Caenorhabditis elegans: one gene and its partners. The protein of the gene in region 1 interacts with the protein of each later gene in a pairwise test. Each region holds a gene or a part of one and is shown on either strand. Other genes may lie near its edges.

Region 1 (4,471 bases):
AGCCTGAAATCTAGAAAAAAATACTCGAGATGTAGAAAATCCACTCACACAGCCCAAAAGTGCAGCAGGCATCAGAATTGATTTGTTGGTGAATACACGTTTTCTCGCGAACAGATAAGCAATCAGAATCGTCAGTAAACTCGCAAGAATTCCAAAAACGAAGCTGGAAGTTGATGCGGATACGGTAGCCACCACGGCAAAAGATGCCATAAATGCATCGATAGCTGTTCGGAAATCATCATCAGATTTCAGATGAAAAGCTATTCTTCCAACAAAAGTTGGAGGAGGAATAGGAGGCATTTTTATCTGAATGATAGTAAATTAGGCCATTGGAAATAATTTTTGATAAATGGCAAATTTTCTTCGAATCTTCAAACTTTTGCTAGTAATCCAATCTATAAAGCTTTTTTAAAAAGTTTATCGATTTAAAAAAAATTGGTTTGAAACATTAATTTTTAGATCTTGGAGTATTTAAATATGAAAAACTGCATGCAACAGTTGAAAATTTAATAAAATTAAAAACAAAACACAAATTCATAGCACAAACTTGAAACTTTTCATAAACCGGAGAACAAAAAATAAATAAAGGAAAAATGCTAGTGATAAATTATTTGTAAAAATCTTCAATTTTACTGAGCATAACGAGGACTCTTTCTTGCTCAATATTAGCATCATCACCAAGATTGTCACTGTATTCTTGAATAATTGGACACAACATCAAATCCAATCGATTTTGGCTCATTTTCATTTGGAAAAGCTTCTCCTCTCTGAGACGAGCCGATTCAACACCAACTGCCACTTCACCGAGTATAAGAGTAAGACGTTGAAGCGTGTAGAGACCATTGTCTAGTTTATCCAAATATGCTCGATCTGGATCATCATCTTCTGATGTTCCAGCTTCTTGTGATTGACGCTTCTTTTTCAATTCAAATCGTTGAACTTTTTCTCTGAAATTGAAATAAAATTATTTTTCATAACGGAATGTGCTTCAACTCACTTGTACTTCAAAAATAGCTCCACAGCTCTGTCCACTTTCTCATGTTCGTGCTCAACAAATTTTTGAACAATTCGTTGACGGTGGTTCTCCGAACATGCTGCCAGCAGTGAAGAGAGAATCTAAAAAATTATTATTTATCATCAAAAGAACATTTCCTACAATATAAATTAGTCACTTTTTGTAAAATGTAATTCGTAGAAATAGATTTTTCGATTTTTAATTTAATTATATGTTCGATAAGTATCAAAAAGTGCAAGGCAGATTTGAAAACTCAATTTTTGTTCAAAAAAGGAGAAAAACCGAAAGTCCGATTTACCAGTCCAATTTTGAAGCTAAAACATTCAAAATAATATCACAACATAAATCTTACCGTACAAACGTGTTCTTCATGTTCATCAGGTGTCGTATCCTTTCTTTTTGTCTTTGAAGGTGTTCTCATGAATAACGGGAAAATTGTTCTCAATCCGAGCATTTCGACAAGTTTATTGCAATTTTCGATTCCCTCGTCTCCTGATGTTGCATGGTTCAGAACTTTCAGAGCACTTTGTCTTGCTTGTTTCTTCTCTCGGAGCATCAAATTCATCAATTGAAGACCTTCTCCGTCGAGGAACTTTTCTGAAAACATTTATTTTGAACAAGAGCAATTTTTTTGGTGTTTATATTCAAAAAAATTCGTACTTCGATTAGCCGGATGCATAAGTGCGGCACAAAGTGAGTTGAATAGATTTTCCATGTATTCTCGTTCGTCTACATTTGCTGGATCGTTCTTTTTGTACACAGCAATGGTCTTAAAAGTTCAATTTATTCTTGATACTTTGTTTGGCTACTCACTCTCAATAAAATATCGATGCCATCAATTTTCTCTGTCAGCTTTGCCTTTGCAGTATCAGAAGTCTGCAATATGACTGAAAGAAGTTCCGAAGCGTACATCTTATTCGCATCAAATGCACCTTTCTGAAAGCATCTTTTCAGAAGCCAAACCGTGAATCCGTGCTTTACGCATTCTTCAGTAATGTCATCGCGGAAACCAATCATCTGAAAATATATTGTTTTGTTTTTCAAATATCGATTTTTCTTACATTGTCCACAACTCCGAGTGCATTATGGACGCCATCCGCTTCATCTTTGACGCTTTCATCGAGCCTCTCTACGCATGCTAACAAAGTTGTGATAATCGATCCAGACACAAGACTTTCAATAAGTTCAGCTGCTCCATCTTCTCCTTCGTTCATCACATCATCGTCTGTAAGTTCTCTCAAGAGACTAAGTGTTGCACACACAATATCAGTATTCTCGTGTCCTAATAATTGAAGAAGAATTTCAACTCCGTTGACTTCAACAAACGATCCATAAAGGTCTGGTTGAGAAGCCAGACTATGCATTTCTTGAATTGCCTTGTCTAATTCAATTTCCGATTCCATGAATTTCTGAGCATCATCTGGATTTTTAACTCTTTGTTCTCGATTTAATCGCATCTTTTTGTCAAGTTGAATAACAAGTTTCTTAACTTGCACATCGTCGAGAGCCACATAATTTGATTGATCGGCTTCCAAAGCCGCAAGAATATCTTCTGGTTTTGGCTGGCCAGCTTGAGATGAAGAAGAAGCACTATCGTCAAAACGAGATTTCTTTCTTGCTGGCTGTAAACTATTTATAATCAAAAAAATTTAATATCAATTTACCTGATACAAAGAAGATGTCGATGATTTGATAATCTCTGTTACATCGATAGAAGTCATCTGGAAACAATCATTTACCAACCTATATTTTTAAAAAACCACAGAAAAATCAAAATATTGAAGAAAGTGTATAAAAATTTTCGCAAGCAAATATTTTCAAATTTTTTTTTTGCAATTACTTTGGTGTAGATATACGGTAAACAAGGCGCGCACCGGAATATCGGAGTGTCGCTCACATTATAATTTCTAGACCTGCATTTTATATATTTGTTTGTATAACCTGATATCAGTGCAATTATGGATAAGCCTTCTGTGTTATAGTTATAAATAATTTTTACGGCATTCTTTATGCCTTTTGACAACAAAATAATTATATCCGACAATTCTGGATGAGCTCAACATGATATAAATTTTTGATCTAATACCGTAGTTGACTACGGTAATCCATTCGATTTGGCGGGAATTTTCAGAGGCGGAGTTCAACTTTGAGCGGGAAAATGTCAATGAAGGGGCTGATTTCCTCATTTTTGTCCCAAATTTCGCGATGAATGTCGCTCGAAGAAGAAGTGGCCTGTTTCGGTCGACTATCGGAGCAACGCCGAAGATCACAAGAGGACGTGCTGCCGCGCCATCCACCAAAGAAGCCAATTCAACAACAATCCCAAGACAGTCGGCTCCTGGAGGAATAACGATTGGAGGTAAATTTGTCATTTGTGTTTTTAAATAACTTCCTCGTGATTTCAAAGTGTTCACACTTCTAAATAAAACATGTTTTTGTTTTTGTTTAAAACCTTTTTTGTTAACAACTACTTTAATTACGAGTTTTCAGCCGCTGCTCGTCGTCCTCCGTCTCGTTTGCCTACCCCCACAACGCCTGCAACTGGTAGAGCATCGTTGCCAGAACGATCAGCGATGGCCAAACCAGCGTCGTGTTCCCGTCCCATACCAACGATGCAATCCACCGCGAGCCGTATTTCCACACTGACGGCAGCTTCTACGTTTCGACAACTTCGCACAGGTCGTCCACCGCCACCATCCACTCAACGCTCAACTGCGACTTCTTCCCTGAAGCCGTCGGTGACAAGAGCCCGACCAGTGGCACAGAAGCCTATTCTCCCTTCTAAGATGGCGCTTCTTGAAGAGAAAATTGCGCAGCTCGAGAGTGCGATGGCTGAGGCTACCGACTTTGCTGAACATCAGAAGAGCAAGATCCAAATCCTGGATGGCAAACTTGAAGGAGCGGATCGCAAGCTGATTTCACTGCAAGATCAATTGAGCACGCTGAAAGAAGTCAACAAGGCGAAAGTGGAGGAGTGCGAGGATTATCGTGTGCACAACAACGATCTCCGGGATCTGCTCAACGAAAAGGAAGCTGAGTTGAGAAAGTTGCACAACGATGTTGTCGATTTACGCGGTCAAATTCGTGTGGCTGTTCGCGTTCGGCCGTTGATCAAATCTGAAGCCGACGCCTCGAGTTCTGCAATTGAGTATCCGGCTATCGATACCATCAGAATCAATGAAGGCTCGAAGCCTGGAATTGTGGTCAAATTCGAGAAGGTTTTCACGCCAGTCTTCTCGCAGAAGGAAGTGTTCGCGAACGTCGAGGAGTTCATTCGGGTTAGTTTCAAAATATAATATTAATAATTGAAAATTGATAATTTCAGTCGTCACTGCATGGGTACAACGTCGGATTGATTGCCTATGGACAAACCGGAAGTGGCAAAACTCACACGATGCGAGGAGGAAATGGTGAAGAGGAAGGAATCATCCCGAGAGCAGCTGCATTTCTGTTCGC
Region 2 (3,183 bases), on another chromosome or scaffold:
AAAAAACTGTTCATGTATTCATTTTATGTGCCAGATTTATCTGAATGATGAAATTTTAAAATTTAAAGTTTAATTTTTTTAAATGTATCTTCGAATACAATAATGTAACAAATTCAAATTGCGTTTTATGTTTAATTAAAACATGTTTGTTGTTCTTTCCTATACATGAAACTATTTAGCCAAAATATTTGGATTAAATGTTTCCCACAGTTCTGGGTTCCATCAAAGGATCCCTAAAAAAAGGAAAGCCAGTTTTTTTTTCAAAACTTTTCCCATCATCTCTCTTTCTTCCGCAACATTGTCACTTATCCATCTGACACCTGCGGTGTTCGAAACAGGATCAGATTGTTGGTCGGCTGACTCTAATTTGAACGCTTCTTTTTCGAAGCGAAAAATCAGACTTTATGAAGATTGATTAATGATGTAGCAATGATTTTGTATCTCAAAAATGTTTTTGTTGTTGTTTTTGGTTATATTGGACAACAGAAGAAAAGGTTGAATCAAACAATAAATGTTGAGTAACTACATGATTTTACACTACATTGCTTCAATCGGGTGCTACTGTTGACTTCTCCTTATGTTTTCAGCTGATTTCAATCGGTAAACAAGGCTGTTAAAAATATGAAAGACAAAGTAAAAATTTTATTTTATGACATGGAAAGTATTGAGAATACAATGAAAGTAAATTTAATGGCGGGAAAGGAAAACAGCGGATCTTGGTGGGCAAGCGCAATAAGCGGCGTCGTTTCCTGGAAGTCCTGGTCCTCCTGGGGCTCCTGGCTGTCCATCGGATCCAGCATTTCCTGGGAATCCGTCTTGCCCAGCTGGTCCGGCTGGTCCTGGGGCTCCGTCTTGTCCTGGGAATCCATCTTGTCCTGCTGGTCCAGCTGGTCCAGCGTTTCCTGGGGCTCCTGGGGCTCCTGGAGCTCCAGATCCGCGTTGTCCGTCGGCTCCTGGCTGTCCTGGGAATCCGTCTTGTCCTGGTGTTCCTGGTTGTCCGTTGTCTCCTGGGGCTCCTGGGGCTCCTGGGAATCCGTCGTTACCGCGTTGTCCTGGGAATCCTGGTTGTCCGTCTGGTCCGGCTGGTCCGGCTGGTCCTGATGGTCCGGCTGGTCCTGCTGGTCCTTGTGGGCACTTGACGCAATCTTGGGAGACTGGGGCGCAGGTCAGTGGAGCGAAGGTAGCGGTGTTGTCGTCTCCCTTTGGTCCTGGGGCTCCTGGGGTTCCTGGGGCTCCTGGCTGTCCTGGTGGTCCTGGTGGTCCTGGTGGGCAAGTTGGCTTAGTTGGCTCACATTGGCACCAGGCTGGAAGTCCAGAGAAAGTTTGACGCTTTTGACGGAAGACGGAGTTGAATGGGTTGACACGTGGCTTGGTTGGTGGGGTAACGGTGATCTGGATGTCCATCATCTCGGTCCATGCAGAGTCGGTCTCAACACGGAAAACAGAGACTCCATCGAGTACCTATAAAATTGAAATTTTGTTTTAACTATTTTGTAAAAGTATATATATATAAACCTGATCGTGAACTTCATTGATGGTGTTGTAGAGGGATGGGACGGTGAAAAGAACAGCAAGAACAGCAATGGAGGCAGCTCCGGTAGAAAAGGTTACAAGAATCTTCTCCATGACTGAAAGCCTTGGTGTCTTTCCTAGTTATCTTGCCTCCTTTTATACTCCTCTTTTTGAATTACTCATACAGTTTTTTTTTGCATAGAGATGTGTAATGAAATATTCCATTTGTCTCCATGAACTCGCTTTTTTTCTTGTCTTTCTTGCCTCAACTTCCTCATTCAGAAGCCACAAACGAGGAAGATAGTAAAGTGGGCAGGCCGTAGAGAAAAAGCGGACAAAGATGAAATGCTTTTCTCTCAGTAGGTGATAGAGGAAGAAGGACGGACAACTTTCTCTCGAGGCGATTGCATGATATGTTGCGATCTGAATGTGTCAGATGGGATGTTATTTAGAAATATTTTGCGTTACCTTAAAATTCCTTGACTGGATGATAACATTTACAATTAAACCTCTTGGATCGCTCACGGGGTGCGCCTGACTGAATTTTTAGAATGGTTGTTGATGAATATGTAAAACAAAACATTGATGAACATTTTATATCTGGCCTTACAAAATGTAAGTCATTGCTTTATTAGACTCCGAAATCTCCCTCGAAAGCACTTCATTTTAAAATGAGATGTCTAGAAAGTTTCACAAAAAAAGTTATGACAGTTTGAAGATTGAAAAAATAATCCATTTCCGGGTAAAAACTCAAATTTTGTCAACTTGACAATGTTACGACTCGCGAAAACTAGTGTAAATTAATTATTCACTAGTCACTATTCGTATTGCATATCTTGGTATATTACCGAATATTGTTTCGCTGATTGAGGTATTTTGTCAGCCGATGGGTGCAAAAACCAGCAAAACCCTTGTACATGTGTATGCTCTTATTACTTGATAGGTACCTATAAACTAGTGTTCCTACTATTCGCAATCTCCATGACTGAAAGCCTTGATGTCTTTCCTAGTTAAATCGTAGAAAAATTGATAATTTCTCAAAGCGGTATTCAAATTTTCGACTCTAAACTCGTCCGAACTTGGCGAAACTTTTATCCCATTTCATCTTGTGAAAAAATTAGTGACCTTTAGTCACAGACTGCATAATGATATTTAAGTTACACTTTTTTCTAAGCCATTCTTAACAAAAACACACTTCATTTACTTTATGTTTATTACAACCAACATTTTTGTCGTCTACTAAACAATGAAACCTTTCAGCCTCTTTCCTCGCACTCTTGTCAGGTGGAATTACACTTATCTTCATGGCAGACCAAAAAGACAAAGTGAAATTTTTCGAAATGACTATTGAAATAAGAATGTCTCTCGTGTGTTCGGCAAACATTAACTTGTAGTTTGATGTATTATTAAAAGTAAAATTTGAATGAAAATGATTTTATTTTGATAAAAAGAAAAGAGACGATGCTTGTCTTGAACCAATCTAATGGCGGGAGACGAAGACAGCGGATCTTGGTGGGCAAGCGCAATAAGCGGCATCGTTTCCTGGAAGTCCTGGTCCTCCTGGGGCTCCTGGTTGTCCATCGGATCCAGCGTTTCCTGGGGCTCCATCTTGTCCAGCTGGTCCGGCTGGTCCTGGTTGTCCGTCTTGTCCTGGGGCTCCGTCTTGTCCGG
Region 3 (4,307 bases), on another chromosome or scaffold:
ATTGCTCGCAATAATTTTTCCCGTTATTATTTGAATTTTTCAAAAAATTTCAGGCTCTATATGCGTTTTGCACTAGTTGCATGTCATCTGATTTATTATTCACTGCTCAATTTCTGGCGTTTGATATGTTTACTGTTGGGTAGGCGATAACTTTTTGATGTTTAATGCATTAAGTTTCAGATCTGCTGTTATATTATTTTGGAGTAATAGCCAGATACGTGGATTAATACTTCCTTCAAAAGCAGAAGACGATCGGATTTTCAGAGTTCAAACGATCAATAACTCATTTACTCATTGATCTGAAAATTGAATCAGTTAATAAATTTTTTTAAAGGTTTTAAATCGTTTTAGAACATACGTTTGATTGTTATGTTTCTAAAAAGATTGAGAACTTCCAAAAACATTTACTTTTGATTCTGTTCTCAGATTCATGAGTAAGTCAGCTATTTATTCTTTGAAAATATAGATTTTTGAAGCAGAAATAGTTTGTATTTGTTTGTTTAATTATAGTATAAAAGTTGAACCTTTATTGAATTACGTACATATTTACGGAATTTTTATACAAATTTCGTTGTTGAATTTGATATTTTCTTTTCCTTCTTTTTTTTCCCAACTGATTCATACAGTTTTTCGAAATAAGTCTGTAAAATTTAAATCATTAATAATAACGTTTTGATATCAACCTCTAAATTGTTGCACAAACAGGGTTTTGGTGTTGTTGGAGAAAGTGCTCCAGGTAAATAGTCTGAATCTTGACGACGATGTCGAGTTATTCTCGGAAGATACACAGATCTATCATGCCAGTGAGATGATGAATTATGACAACTTCGAAGAGAGCACTGAATTTTTAAAATATTTTCGTATATTTATACTTTATCAAAAACTAACCTTAACGGCTTCAAGAACAATTGTCCACCAAGTAACTTCACCTTCTTCATATGGACTTAACAAAAGTAGAAAATGAATAAGATCCCAACTGATGCGATCTTCCTCTTCTTCTACACGTTCTTTGTCTTCTTCTTCAAAATTGGCAGGTACTCCTGCGGGTTCTCCATTCAATATTTCAGGTACTTGACTAATAACAATAGGCGCTGAAACATCTGCAACGTTGGAAACATCTGATACTTCCGAAATAAAATGATCCTTTAGAATCTCTTGATTTTTTAATTGTTTTAGTTTTGGTACATTCTGAGCAGTCGGAATATTTAAAGAAGTTTGCGGGTTTTGTGTTCCAGACGAACTTCTTTCATATTGAATAGTTGCAGAATTTGAAGTCTCTTCTGGAATAGCCGATATTGGCTTATTCAATGGTTCTTGAATATCGGGATCATCTACATGATCCCTGCGTTCCTTCATTTTTCCGCCCAACTCAGCAAAATGGTGCTCGTTCCGATTTCGAATTTCACTGTCTTCTGGTTCTCCTGAAACATGCTGATGATACAGGTTAATCGTCTACATCTAATGAGTTCAATATGAAAAAAATATTAAATTGATTCTAAATGTTTCACCTTGTTCATCATGATCTAAATCGTCTTCAACACCTTCAATAGAAGGCTCCACAGCAACAATATTAGGTGTTACGGTGGTTGATTGCCTGAATTTAGCTCTTGTGAAGTTGTCCAGTCTACTTTTCAAGTTTAGGTCGTCTTTGATATTAAGTTCAATGTTGTCTGATACTTCGGAAGCTTCATGGACAACTCGTGGCTCTGGTTGCATTACAATACCAATGTTATCTATTTCTTCTTCTAACTTTTCTCCTTTCCCAGCAATCTATAACTAAGTTTTAAACTTTAGAAGCAATCTTCAACTCAAAACTCACATTTGATGATATTCCTTCAAACACTTCATGTTCTGCTGCAGAATCAGATGCAGTGACTTCTATATTTTGTGATAATTCTTCTTGATGACATTGATACAGAGAGAATACAAAATAAAATATCGATAAATTGAGCCAACAAATCATAAATCAAGAACAAGTTGAACTAAGATTTCCAGGGGAATATTACAGCTATTGAAGATGTTTTGGATAGAAGAGAGGAAAAAAGAAAGAGAAAACTTGTGACTGTGCTCCTCTCAATTGGAGCTGTTTCTCTCGGATCTTCTTCTTCTTCAACCAGCTGTACCTTTTCATGATAAATGGCCATGTCATGTGCTTCAAAGACAGAAAGAGAAAAGGAAGAATGTGTTCGATGACCGGCAAATAGAAAAGAGTGAGACGTTTGGAAGAGGGTGGCGGAAAGATGATAATAAATAGAATCAGTCATATGTTCCGAGGTTTTACTCATGGAACGGTGACTCATGTGGAATTTCTGAGCATTTTGTAGAAATTCACCGTAAGAGAAATGATAGGATTTGATTACTTAGTGTCTAGAAGTCTTGAAGAATGTTATTTTAATTTAGGCATTATTCAATCATTTCATTGAGCTCTAACAATGTGAGTTCTACAAACAAAACAAAATGAGCTGAACACTTTTTGTGCTAGGTCGGTTTACTTCCTGCTTTCTTACCGCTGTAATAACATTTTATGACCCTTCCAAACTCGTGATCGGCTTGAAATTGAGATTTTCAAAATGAAAGTTTGAAAACCAAGTAAAAAAATTCGAGGAAAAATAATTATTTATTTTAGTATTTAAATTGTAATTATTCTAGACTAGAGAGGCTTTTACAGCTGCCAAATCTCGTCTTTCCACTGCTCTCAGTAAATTGTCAGGGACATTCGATGTTCGGATTGCTGCTGATCTGAAATTTGTGAAGGTGATTTTAACATATAAAGCTATAAACTAACCTCATAGTTGTCCAAATACCAGATGCATCATTTCCTCCTTTTTGCAATTCTAATGCAGATAAAAAATGTTTCAAAGCTTCATCATAAGATGATAATTGCATACAAGATATTCCCAAATTGTATCTTGCTCTGACATATGTTGGATACAATTTCAAAGCTTCTCGATATGCTGAAATGGCTTCAGCTGTGTGGTCACCATTGGCTAACGTAGCACCAAGACGATTCCAGAGACGAGCATCAGTTGGATTTTTGGAGATCGCCAACTTGAGAGAGTCGACAGCTCTTGCAAAATTGCGATTCAAGTTGTATAAAACTCCGAGAGCATTTTGAAGATCTGGATCTGGAGTTGCTCCTTGTTGCCGAGCAGCATCCAAGAATCTAGCCTCAACTCGATTAAAAGTGTCACTGTCCAGAAATGAAGAGTAGAGTGGAGGTGTGGTTGTCACTTGAGTCGAGTTTGAACCCTTAAAATATTTATTCGTGTGGGATTATTCTTGAAATAAAAATAAGAAATACCAAGTAAGAAGACATCCATTTATCCAATTGATGTAAAGCTTCATTTTCCATTCCTTCGTTCGCTTGACTGACAGACAAACCAAGAAGTGCCTGAAATAATTTTGATTTTATTGGAAGTTTTTTTTTTTTTTTCTTAATTTCTGTTCTTAAAAAGTTTTAAGAGACAGATATGAATTTTATCGCGACCTATCTATTTTATGGCATCAAATAATCAAATATTTTTCTCAAATTTTACCTCCTTGTTTCCAGCGTCAATCTGCAAACATTTTTGGAACGCTTGCATTGCTAACTGATCTTTTTCATTTTCAGCATGAGCCAATCCTAATTTACACCAGGCACGTGCATCCTGAGGATCTTTTTGAACTGCTGCTTCATAGGCAAGCATGGCATTTCCAATATCTCCATTTCTCATTAGATTGTCTCCTTCCATCAGTGGATCTGACATGGTTGTGAAAGGGTTTGCTTCCTGAATAGGAGGGTTATAAAAATGTGTTAAAGAAGACAAAAATCTTACCTGATAAACATAGTTTTCAGGACTTTGAAGAGATTCGTCCTTTTCCATATCTCTCTTAATTTCCTCCCATCTCTGTTCAAAAGCCTGTGCATCTTTCCAAGTGTTTTCCATTCCATAATTATCTTGTTGCTCCATAAAATCATCAGCCCAGTTTTGAGTCCCAGAAGATTTGGTTAAAGAAGTATCCACAGTATCCAGATATTCAGATGACCACATACCAGCATCTGTTATTGGTTGATGTGATGACGTGGATGTCATTGATGGAGCTTGAACTTGACGCCATGCAGATTCCATGCTTGGAGCACTAGATGTGTATTGTTGACTCCATTGACTCGCTAACTGGTTCTGAAGCAATCAATTGAAAATACCAATATATGAATGCATTAGAAATACCTGTCGCGGTTGAAACTCCTTTGTCCAATTTGCTGCCAAACTTGAGGATGCTGATGCCTGTGGTAAATTATTCTGCATCGACTTCATGCTGAAACTTGT

Evidence for each region.
Region 2: the proteins of ctnb-1 (region 1) and col-145 interact in a two-hybrid assay, tested with the Caenorhabditis elegans proteins (one large-scale study listed by BioGRID).
Region 3: the proteins of ctnb-1 (region 1) and cup-16 interact in a two-hybrid assay, tested with the Caenorhabditis elegans proteins (one large-scale study listed by BioGRID).

Annotation. Positions count from the first base shown.
Region 1 is NC_003279.8:5,577,931-5,582,401, reverse strand, and holds ctnb-1 (Beta-catenin-like protein 1 N-terminal domain-containing protein), read right to left. Parts: upstream 2,737-4,471; coding exon 2,680-2,736; intron 2,638-2,679; coding exon 2,077-2,637; intron 2,033-2,076; coding exon 1,829-2,032; intron 1,785-1,828; coding exon 1,676-1,784; intron 1,613-1,675; coding exon 1,368-1,612; intron 1,117-1,367; coding exon 998-1,116; intron 948-997; coding exon 608-947; 3' UTR 540-607; downstream 1-539. Other genes in the region: M01E11.1 (Protein-S-isoprenylcysteine O-methyltransferase), read right to left, coding at 1-3, 49-300; klp-15 (Kinesin motor domain-containing protein), read left to right, coding at 3,221-3,374, 3,506-4,293, 4,341-4,471.
Region 2 is NC_003283.11:9,161,364-9,164,546, forward strand, and holds col-145 (Putative cuticle collagen 145), read right to left. Parts: upstream 1,643-3,183; 5' UTR 1,627-1,642; coding exon 1,516-1,626; intron 1,462-1,515; coding exon 688-1,461; 3' UTR 629-687; downstream 1-628. Other genes in the region: col-10 (Cuticle collagen 10), read right to left, coding at 2,993-3,183. UniProt on the Caenorhabditis elegans protein: Nematode cuticles are composed largely of collagen-like proteins. The cuticle functions both as an exoskeleton and as a barrier to protect the worm from its environment.
Region 3 is NC_003280.10:8,705,060-8,709,366, reverse strand, and holds cup-16 (uncharacterized protein), read right to left. Parts: upstream 2,213-4,307; 5' UTR 1,964-2,212; coding exon 1,820-1,963; intron 1,771-1,819; coding exon 1,509-1,770; intron 1,422-1,508; coding exon 889-1,421; intron 840-888; coding exon 684-839; intron 679-683; exon of another isoform or gene 642-678; coding exon 558-641; 3' UTR 507-557; downstream 1-506. Other genes in the region: srg-15 (Serpentine receptor class gamma-15), read left to right, coding at 54-139, 181-298; prx-5 (TPR_REGION domain-containing protein), read right to left, coding at 2,646-2,739, 2,786-3,249, 3,302-3,391, 3,537-3,767, 3,816-4,160, 4,209-4,307.